2 linked regions of the Ovis aries genome follow. The protein of the gene in region 1 interacts with the protein of each later gene in a pairwise test. Links are inferred from orthologs where the notes say so. Each region holds a gene or a part of one and is shown on either strand. Other genes may lie near its edges.

What was found.
Region 2: the proteins of keratin-associated protein 10-12-like (region 1) and SPRY1 interact in binary tests that used the Homo sapiens proteins (3 or more experiments, as listed by UniProt). The two-hybrid records come from large-scale screens. The link is inferred for Ovis aries from reciprocal best matches to the Homo sapiens genes KRTAP10-7 and SPRY1.

The regions. Positions count from the first base shown.
Region 1 is NC_056054.1:262,543,680-262,549,613, reverse strand, and holds keratin-associated protein 10-12-like, read right to left. Parts: upstream 3,823-5,934; 5' UTR 3,673-3,822; coding exon 2,773-3,672; 3' UTR 1,767-2,772; downstream 1-1,766. UniProt on the Homo sapiens protein: In the hair cortex, hair keratin intermediate filaments are embedded in an interfilamentous matrix, consisting of hair keratin-associated proteins (KRTAP), which are essential for the formation of a rigid and resistant hair shaft through their extensive disulfide bond cross-linking with abundant cysteine residues of hair keratins.
Region 2 is NC_056070.1:34,546,421-34,551,215, forward strand, and holds the end of SPRY1 (protein sprouty homolog 1), read right to left. Parts: intron 4,559-4,795; coding exon 3,544-4,558; 3' UTR 778-3,543; downstream 1-777. UniProt on the Homo sapiens protein: Inhibits fibroblast growth factor (FGF)-induced retinal lens fiber differentiation, probably by inhibiting FGF-mediated phosphorylation of ERK1/2. Inhibits TGFB-induced epithelial-to-mesenchymal transition in lens epithelial cells.

The sequences.
Region 1 (5,934 bases):
ATGAATATTCAGGACTGATTTCCTTTAGGATGGACTGGTTGGATCTCCTTGAAGTCCAAGGGACACTCAAGAGTCTTCTCCAACACCACAGTTCAAAAGCATCAATTCTTCGGGGCTCAGCTCTTGTCACAGTCCAACTCTCACATCCATACACGACCACTGGAAAAACCATAGCCTTGATTAGATGGACCTTTGTTGGCAAAGTAATGTCTCTGTTTTTTAATATGTTATCTAGCTTAGTCATAACTTTCCTTCCAAGGAGTAAGCGACTTTTAATTTCATGGCTGCAATCACCATCTTCAGTGATTTCGGAGCCCAAAAACATAAAGTCTGACACTGTTTCCCCTGTTTCCCCATCTATTTCCCATGAAGTGATGGGACCAGATGCCATGATCTTCGTTTTCTGAATGTTGAGCTTTAGGCCAGCTTTTTCACTCTCCTCTTTCACTTTCATCAAGAGGCTCTTTCGTTCTTCACTTTCTGCCATAAGAGTGGTGTCATCTGCATATCTGAGGTTATTGATATTTCTCCTGGCAATCTTGATTCCAGCTTGTGCTTCATCCAGCCCGTCATTTTGCATGATGTACTCTGCATGTAAGTTAAATAAGCAGGGTGACAATATACAGCCTTGACACTCCTTTCCCTGTTTGGAACCAGTCTGTTGTTCCATGTCCAGTTCTAACTGTTGCTTCCTGACCTGCATACAGATTCCTCAGGAGGCAGGTCAGATGGTCTGGTATTGCCATCTCTTTAAGAATTTTCCAGAGTTTGTTGCAGACTACACAGTCAAAGGCTTTGGCATAGTCAATAAACAGAAGTAGATGTTTTTCTGGAACTCTCTTGCTTTTTTGATGATCCAGTGGATGTTGGCAATTTGAATTCTGGTTCCTCTGCCTTTTCTAAATCTAGTTTGAACATCTGGAAGTTCACAGTTCACGTATTGTTGAAGCTTGGCTTGGAGAATTTTGAGCATTATTTTGCTAGCATGTGAGATGAGTACAACTGTGTGGTAGTTTGACCATTCTTTGACATTGCTGTTTTGGGGATTGGCATGAAAACTGACCTTTTCCAGTCCTGTGGCCACTACTGAGTTTTCCAAATTTGCTGGCATATTGAGTGCAACACTTGAGGATTTGAAATAGCTCAGCTGGAATTCCATCACCTCCACTAGCTTTATTCATAGTGATGCTTCCTAAGGCCCACTTGACTTCACATTCCAGGATGTCTGGTTCTAGGTGAGTGATCACACCATCGTGGTTATCTGGGTCGTGAAGACCTTTTTTGCATAGTCCTTCTGTGTATTCTTGCCACCTCTTCTTAATATCTCCTGCTTCTGTTAGGTCCATACCATTTCTGTCCTTTATTGAGCCCATCTTTGCATGAAATGTTCCCTTAGTATCTCTAATTTTCTTGAAGAGACCTCTGGTCTTTCTCATTCTATTGTTTTCCTCTTTTTCTTTGCACTGATCACTGAGGAAGGCTTTCTTATCTCTCCTTTTATTCTTTGGAACTCTGCATCCAAATGGGTATATCTTTCCTTTTCTCCTTTGCCTTTGATCACTTGACAGTGATTAAGACCATCCCCAACCAAAAGAAATGCAAAAAGGCAAAAATGGTTATCTGAGGAGACTTTACAAATAGGTGAGAAAAGAAAAGAAGCTAAAGGCAAAGGAGAAAAATGGTACTTGTCTTGAGTAAACTCAGGAAAGAGATTTACGAGTTGAGGCAGGACACCTGTTTACCAGTCCTCTTAGGGTTTTGCTCCATTCCCTCTTTCCTGGATGGAACTGAGCTGGGGTGGGGATAGTATCCCCTGGGGAGATGCCTTCAGTTCCTGGTCCCTCTTGCCCCAGCCACCACTGTTCTCCTGCTCCTATGGGCCTCATCAGTCTGTTTCTGGTGGGGGATAAGTAGTTGACTGGTGCTGACTGGTGCCCACTTCCTCTATTGCTAATGTCCACTAAGACTGCAGGCTCTTTCTCCCCTACTGTCCTGAGGGTTTGTTCACAAGGCGTCTCTTTTGTTCTGTCCCTCCTCGGTCAGGCTTTGAAACCTTGAGTAGAATGAGTGATGTCTAAATTGACACTGCACCCCCTTGGAGCCCCCAGAATCTCCTCCTCAGTGTTGGCACGTCTCTCCAACAGCACTTACCCTGGACTCTCCGATCCAGACCCAGGAGGGTTTCTGCTGCTCCCCAAGTCACCCTCAACCTGCATGGGCAGGGGGAGGAACCCAGGGCCCACTCAGGATCTGAGCCTTCTGCACCCACACCCGCCTCCATGTCAGCCTTGAAGGGCCGTCCACTGCAGGGAGAGTGAGCCTGGGGTAGGAAGGGACATAGAATGTGTGAATGGCACCAGCTTTCAGATCCTGTTGTTTCTCAGCTGCTTTGAACTCGGATGGGAGAATGTGTCTTTACTGCCTGGCTTCTGCCAGCAGAGCACCTACAGGCCATATTTGGAGGGGCTGAGGGGGCCCAAGGGAGGAGGCCAAAACAGACATGGGTCCATATTTCCTGACACAAACGCTTTATTCATTAGAGCAGCTGATGTTTGTCATATGGGATTCAAGCAGCCTGTCCTGCAGAGGAGGCTCCTGGGGCCCCACAGTCCACCCTGTCAAGGGCTTTCTGAGATGCCTGCCAAGTTCGAATCCTCTCTGGGCAGCAGCTGCGTGTCCAACTTTGGGAGAGGGGAGGTCCTGGCGCCAGCAGAGGGGCTCCTGGAGCTTGGGAGAGAGACAGCAGCTTGTGGAGGGCGGGTGATTGGCCGGTCAGCAGCAGAGCTCCGGGGCTGAGGTGGGGATGCCGCAGGCCAGGCGGGAGCATGCAGGCCGGCAGAGCAGGGACACAGAGGAGGCTGGGCGGCAGCAGCTTGGCTGGCAGGAGGAGGTGGGCACACAGCAGGCGAGGCGGCACGCAGGGCGGCAGAGGAGGGACACAGAGGAGGCCGGGCGGCAGAAGCTGGGCTTGCAAGAGGAGGCGGGCACACAGCAGGTGGGGCCGCACACGGGGCGGCACACAGGACGGCAGAGGAGGGACACGGAAGAGGAGGGTCTGCAGCAGGATGAGGGGGCTGAGCAGGGGGAGGTCTCACAGCACACGGGCCTGCAGCAAACAGGTGTACAGCAGACAGGCCTGCAGCAGACGGGCTCACAGCAGGCCTGCTGGCAGCAGGAGGAGGTGCAGCAGGAGGGCTGGCAGCTGGACTGCTGGCAACATGAGGAGGTTGAGAAGGGGGAGGCCTCACAGCAGACAGGCCTGCAGCAGACAGGTGTGCAGCAGACAGGTGTACAGCAGACAGGCCTGCAGCAGACGGGCCTGCAGCAGACAGGCTCACAGCAGACAGGTTCACAGCAGGCCTGCTGGCAGCGGGAGGAGGTGCAGCAGGAGGACTGGCAGCTGGACTGCTGGCCACATGAGGCTGGGCAGGAGCTGCTGCAGGCTGGCTGGCAGCAGGGGCTGGACTCACAACTCACTGGGGCGCAGAGGAGGGTCAGGCGGGGGGCCGAGGTGCAGCAGCTGGGGGCACAGCAGGGGGGCTCGCAGCAGCTCTCTGGACAGTCATCCACCTGCCAGGAGGAGCCGGTGCAGGAGTCACAGGATCCAGGCAGGCAGATCCGGCTGCTGTAGCTCAGGTCGCTGGAGCAAGCAGACAGGTTAGAGAAGGCCATGGTGGAGGTGGTACGGCTGGAGGAGGTGTAAGTGTGTGTGAGTGTGTGAGTGAAGTGCTGAGGGTGTCTGCTTTTATACCCGCCCTGAGTATGCGCGTGGCCCTGGTCGGAGGCTCCCACGCTCTCCCTTCCTTGTTGCTGTTTGGAGCTGACCCTCATTAGGGCTGCTGTGTTTTCTACAATTAGCTTTTACTCATTAAACATGTGAGTACGTTGCAAGAGTCTGTTTTCCCATCTGTTCTTTGTTTGGCTCCAGAAAACTTGTGGAGGATGCAAGACGCAAGTTTCTGCTGAATGCCTGCCAGGGTTCTTAAGTCACGTTCACGGAGGGAGGGGCTGAGCGTGAGACAAGTTCCCAGCCACTGCAGCCGCTCCCACTTCACGCCAGCCTTGACAGTGTGAGAATACATAGGGAAAGATGCCTAGCTTTACCGCAGCCCAAACTATACCTAAGAGCATTACTAAGAAGATAAGTTGCGAGCGAAATAGAAAACTTGACCAAAGAACACACACAACATATATCCACTGGGACCCGAGAGGTGTAAGCAAGAAACTCAGAGCTATAGACTGAATTACCACTCTTTCTGGATCAATCCATCCCTGATGTAACTTCAATCAGAACCCAAAAGAAATATTTTTGGCATATAAAGTGAAGATATTGAACTGCTAGAAAATATTTGCAATGTAAAAGTTGAAAGCCTTTACAACTAAAGCAGGATATGATACAATAGAATCAAACACAAGCACACAGTCCATTCAAATTTCCAATCAACATTTGAAAAGCTACTGGATATCACTGATAATTAAAAGGCTCTAAATTAAAACACAAATATCCCACCTGCAAGATCAGCCAAGATTTACAACACTGGTAACACCCAGTGCTGCACAGTCTGAGGTCCTCACTCTTCTTTAAAAATTAGTTAACTTTTCGCTGAGCTGGGTCTTTGTTGCTACATGTAGGCTTTCCCTGGTTGTGGCAAACGGGGCTTACTTTTTGTTGCAGTGGGCAGGCTGCTCTTGGCAATGGCTTATCTTATTGAGGAGCACTGGCTTTAGGACATATGGGCTTTGGTAGTTGTGGCACGTGGGCTAGTCCCAGACCAGGGATTAAATTTATGTTCTTTGCATTGGCAAGTGGATTGTTAACCACTGGATCACCAGGGAAGCTCTAGGGGCCTCCCTGTTAGAAATCCTTAACAGGTACGTTTTTTTTTTTATTACATGTAACAAATAATATAAAATTAACCATTTTAAAGTGTTCGATTCAGGGACATTTAGTACAGTCACAACACTGTACAACTATGACCACTATCTAGTCCCGGGACATTCCCAAAAGGAAATCTTGTAGTATTGGGTAGACCCTCCCCAGTCCCTGTCAAGCACCGCTCTGCTTTCTGTCTCTATGACTTTGGCTGTTCTGCTCATTTCATGTAAAAGGAATCACACAATAGGTGGCCTTTTGTGTCTGACTCCAACTTGGCATACATGTGGCATACATGTGTGCTTGATCCTTTTTTATGACAGGATAACATTCCTCATAGAAATAGACAACATTTTATTTACCCATAAGTCGATGAACATTTGGGCCATTTATACCTCTTGGTTAAAAAATGCTTGCTCCTTGCAAGGGAAGCTATGACAAAGCTAGTGAAATGAAGTCACTCATTCGTGTCCAACTCTTCGCGACCCCATGGACTGTAGCCCACCAGGCTCCTCCATCCGTGGGATTTTCCTGGGCAGAGTGCTGGAGTGACAAACCTAGACAATATATTAAACAGCAGAGACTTCACTTTGCTCATAAAGGTCTGTATAGTCATGTATGGATATGAGAGTTGGGCCATAAAGAAGGCTGAGTGCCAAAGAATTGATGCTTTTGAAATATGGTGTTGGAGAAGACTCTTGAGAGTCTCTGGGACTGAAAGGAGATCAAACCAGTCAATCCTAAAGGAAATCAACCCTGAATATACATTGGAAGGACTGAAGCTGAAGCTCCAATACTTGGGCCACCTAATATGAAGAGCTAACTCTTTGCAAAAGACCCTGATGCTAGGAAAGATTGAGGGCAGGAGGAGAAGGGGGCTACAGAGGATAAGATGGTTGGATGACATCATTGACTTAATGGACTTGAGTCTGAGCAGGCTCCAGGAGATGGTGATGGACAAGGGAACCCTGGGGTGCTGCAGTCCATGGGGTTGCAAAGAGTCAGACAGGACTGAGTGACTGAGCAACAACAATACAATTTTCTTAGAGTGAACAAGGTGT
Region 2 (4,795 bases), on another chromosome or scaffold:
AGAAATGAGATTGTGCCTTTTTGCTAAAGAGTTATACATAAAACTACCATGAAATACATCACTCAACAAAAAAAGGGAAGATTCAGGAAAAGGAGACAATTTCAAAAATTAAATCAATCTTTTGCAAATGAATCTTGAGTTTGATTTCAATATTAACTTTAGGGTAAAAACATTAGTTTTTAACTCATTTCCTTTAACTTTAAAAACCACTGTTTTTCTTTTTTTTTTCTTTGTAATAACTGGAATGTTCCACGATTTGTGTTTTGAAAACTATATAATAATCATCACAGATTATAAAGATTCACCTCAAGCCTTCACAAAAAAGTATATCTACTTTTTCATAGTCCATACTTCTGCTGAGTTACATTTTATTAAACTGTTGACAGGAAACTACTCAATTACAGAAATCTTGTACTGGTTTTATTCACAATTATCCAAATAAAACTTCTTTGAATGAAAAGAACAACACTCAGAAAACATGCTGGAAAGGAACTACTTAAAAAATATTCACTCTGTCAGGCTTTGGCAGTTGAGGAAGAGGGACAAAATTGAGGAAAAGGGAAAGGTTAATCTATCTGTGTGATATTTTTAACTTGGCAGTATCAAATAAATGGCAGGGGTATTATAAGAAATGTCAGCTGTGCTAATGCTTTCAAAGCCTTAGCACTTTAAAATGATCATCAGTATTCAGTTCAAACACATTGGACTCATGAGCACTGATGAAGACACATCCTAATATTTGTTTCTTCTAGGTTTAAACCATCACAAAGGAGGAAGTTTTGAATCAAAGTGTTTATTCTTTGTATCTGACAAGCATGTTAGAAGTCTGAACTCCTAACCTATTGCTATTTCCAAATATGAGCTTGACATTATGCCAGAGTGCATACAGAACCCTGGAAGCAGCAGACTGCCATCTTAATATTATAATTTTAATGTATTCCCCAGATAGTCAGAAGTTAAAACTCCACAACATACCTTATTCTCATAAAAGTTATAAATTTCTTTCAATAAAAGCCATAGCTTCTTAGTCTGGTTAGTTTAACTACAGACAGCTCTTACACCAATTCCTAATTATACGAAGGGTCTAAATAACAGAAAAAAGTTACACAGTATTTTGAAGGAGTCTATTCATGCTTCATTAAGGAGCCAAATCTCAATGAAATATTCAATATTCAGGGACCAGTGATATCACCACATAACTTGAATACAAGAGGAAACAAATTCACATTTTAAAATACCATAGATTATGAAATTTTAAAAAATGTTCCTGCTTTCAGAGCATAGAGAAAATACTTGATTAAGCCAAATGTCACAATGCTAACTAATAGGTTTAGTGGCTTGGTGGAAATGCATTAAAAGTTTCTATCATTTATGTCTCATTTAATTAAAACAAAATCAAAGTCTATAAATACAAAGGATAAATAATCCAAAACTAGTAGTCAAATCATGTAAGAGACAACAACCAAACAAAAAAGCTGGATAAGAGTTTTGACAGCCTAAATCCTGGATTCAAATTATGCCAACATCTTATTCTCAAATGCTGATTATTCAGGTTTGACACGTCACTTAGGCATACGGAGGAGTTAGTGAAATCAAGTCTGAGGATTCACGTGAACAAAATTTTATCAGACCCAAAGATTCTAACTATGTCCTGACTTCAGCAGGCTAAAAACTAAAAACATGTACTTTTTTAATATAAAGTTTCACACCCTCACATTTCTAATTCCATGAGACATGACACAATGTTATTTGATCAGGGCACATTAAAGACTTATTAAAGGAATGAAAAGGATTGGAATGTTTTTAAAACTTCTCTTTGATAATGTTAACTATCCCCTTGATGCACTCTTAAATTCTATAATGTTTTATTAAAATGACAGTGCCACAGACTCCTAGTATGGCTACAGAACTAATTTTTTAAGCTTTGCTGATGAAAATTAATTTCAGACTAATCCAAGAGTTAAGATAAACATTATTTAAAACATACAGGTATGTCCCATTCCAAGAAATTGATATACACAAAACCCCTTGCTTATAAAATAGCCAACGGAGGGATGGAATTGTTAATATTAATCACAGAAAAACTTTTTTCACTTTGTAAAGTGATTCACTTGGGCATTTGTTGAAACAGAATTTGGAATATAAAATCTTGATTAATGAATTTTCCAGGAAACATCTAGTTCAAGATTTGAGCTCACCTACATCTAGATTTGGTATATTAAGGGAAAGAAAGAAAATGGGTATGCATGAAGAGTCAAAGCAAATGACAAAAATCACAACAGTACACACTAATAAATGAAGAAATCAAGAGACAGTTTCATTAATTAATATATTTTCTGCATTATAGTTAACATACGTACTTTCTTCGTGTCACCTTATTTTCCGTTACGTATTGATATTTTGTTATATTCAGACATGAGTACATTTCAACAGTCTTTTGCAATAAATATCATAAAATAATAGAGATTCGCATAATAAATATTCTTTACAATAAAAAAGTTTAACAGACTTTTGTCTTAAAAATAGTCAGAATTCAACTTTGTGATTTATACATAAAATATACAAAAAGCACCACAATTTGTGGTTAAGGCAATGAAACAGAAAAGATTAGAACTACCCAGCTGTTAACTAACCAAGTGGCCAAAAACCATTAAGGAGCCAAGATCACTTCAGGCAGCATAGTTCCGTGACATCTATAGATTGATCAGATATAAATATCAACTTCAGTTATCCAAGTGCCGTCAATGACAAGAGTAATTTGGTGAAAAGCAAGGAGTATGGAAGGGAGGGAGTCGAGTCCTTCACAAATATGAAAGCTTGAATAAGGATGAGCAAGATACAACCAATATATCTCCAATGTGAAGACTTACATTGTAAAGCAGACCTAAAATTACACAGGAAAAAACAAAACAAAACAAAACAAAACAGAAAACCCTGGCATCTCTAAAAATGATAACGCCAAAACTGAGGGGATAGAAAGTTGAGAAGCAAGAAGGAGAGGGCAGTGGTTAAAGGAGAATCTTAACGTTGTAACAAAAACAGATCTCCCATGCTACTTAAGTGTCTAATGATATGAAGATAGCCCTAATTGGGGACAGATTTAATATATAGCTTATTTAAGCAATTAAATGGCTGCTTCTTTAAACACCAATTTCCCTGTTCCCAGAGTACCCAATCAAAAACAGCTCTAAATCACTGTAGCCTGGGTGTACATGTGTGGATATGTTCACGTGTACAACTTGGGAAAATTGCTTGCAGAACAAAAAGGCTACACAAAAGCCCACTGGCTCTCAATACCCTCTCAAGTGGATGGCAGAGGCTCTTGTCATAAGGGGGAGCCAGATGCATTTCACAGTCCACTCTTACTGAAGATCATCCATTAGAGAAGAGTACAATCCATGAGTCAAACCTTGGAAAGAAGGGGAAAAAGGTGGGACAGGGGAAAACTGCAAAGAAAATTAAACCAGTATCTGACAGCATCTTTTTTAACAGCCACAGCTTGAAAGCAAGAGAAGTTCAGGAGGTCCAACCCACCTCCAAAAATCATGATGGTTTACCCAGTCCCCGGGAGGGGCAGCTCTCCAGCTTACAATAGACAGTGTTGGAGTTCTTACATCTGCACCCTGGGCGATGGATCCAGTCATAACACCCCCTGCACAACTTCAGGCATCCCTTGGCTGGAGGATAACAAAGTAAGCAAGGTAAAAACAGAGACATGGCTCCCATACACAGGTACCTAGAGCAGCACTGTGACTGTGAACAGGAGCAAGGATTATCCGAGTAGGAATCCCCTTCATCGTCATTGGAGCAGTGGTAGAAGATGCCCTTGACCAAGCACATGCAGGTTCCGTACTCCACCATGCTCTCAGCGGAGCAAAGGCACTGCCGGTTACAGGCCAAGCAGGATGGCAGGGTCCTGGGAGCTGTGCATTCCCCACACTTGCACTTCCCACACTGTTCACAGATGAACTTGTGCTGCGTCAGGTCCTCTTTCAAGGAGCCCTTTAAGTCATCCACAATCAGTTGCTTGGGCTGGGTCCGGATTGCCCTTTCAGACCTGTGACCAGGGATGGGTCTGGCTGGCGGGGACCTTCCTAACAGCCCCTGCTCAGAAGAGGCACTGCTGTTGCTCCCAGAACTGGCTGCGCTTCCGGTGCTGGTTGACCTGCTCAGTATGGGGCCTCTGGCGTTATTTGAGAGTCCTGCATGTCCCAGGTGGCTGGTAGGTCTATGCTCATAGTTATTATTCACATTAATCGGTATGATTTCGTGAGTCCTCTCATGCTTTTCTTGTCTTGGTGCGGTTCGAGGAGCAGGTCTTTTCACCACAGATGGCCCTTCTGTGTATTCATTGCTGCCTCTGATGGCCTTGATCTGGTCTAAGGACAAAATAGCAGCAGGCTGAATCTCCCTCTCATAGTCTAGCCTCTGACGGTTATCCAATGCAGGCTGCTGGATCACAACTAATGAACTGCCACTGCCATGCTGATTTTGGGGATCCATGTGTAGTGATCTTGATTTCTGGCAATCAGTGGAAACCTGGCATGCATCTGAAATCCTAAAAGGAAATCAAAGATGAAAAAAAAAACCAAATAGAGAAAATAAATGACTAGAAGTATTTGGGGAGGTAGGGGGGGAAGAGGTGAGAAATCCTGTCAAGTCACAAATTGCCTAAACCACCTGGTAATGATCTCCCTCATCAGCGGATTACAATGATGCTGGGGTCCTGGACAGAGTCCAATTCCGAGACAGGCTTAGGACCACATCACAGAAGAATGTAAGCAAGAGACCCCAT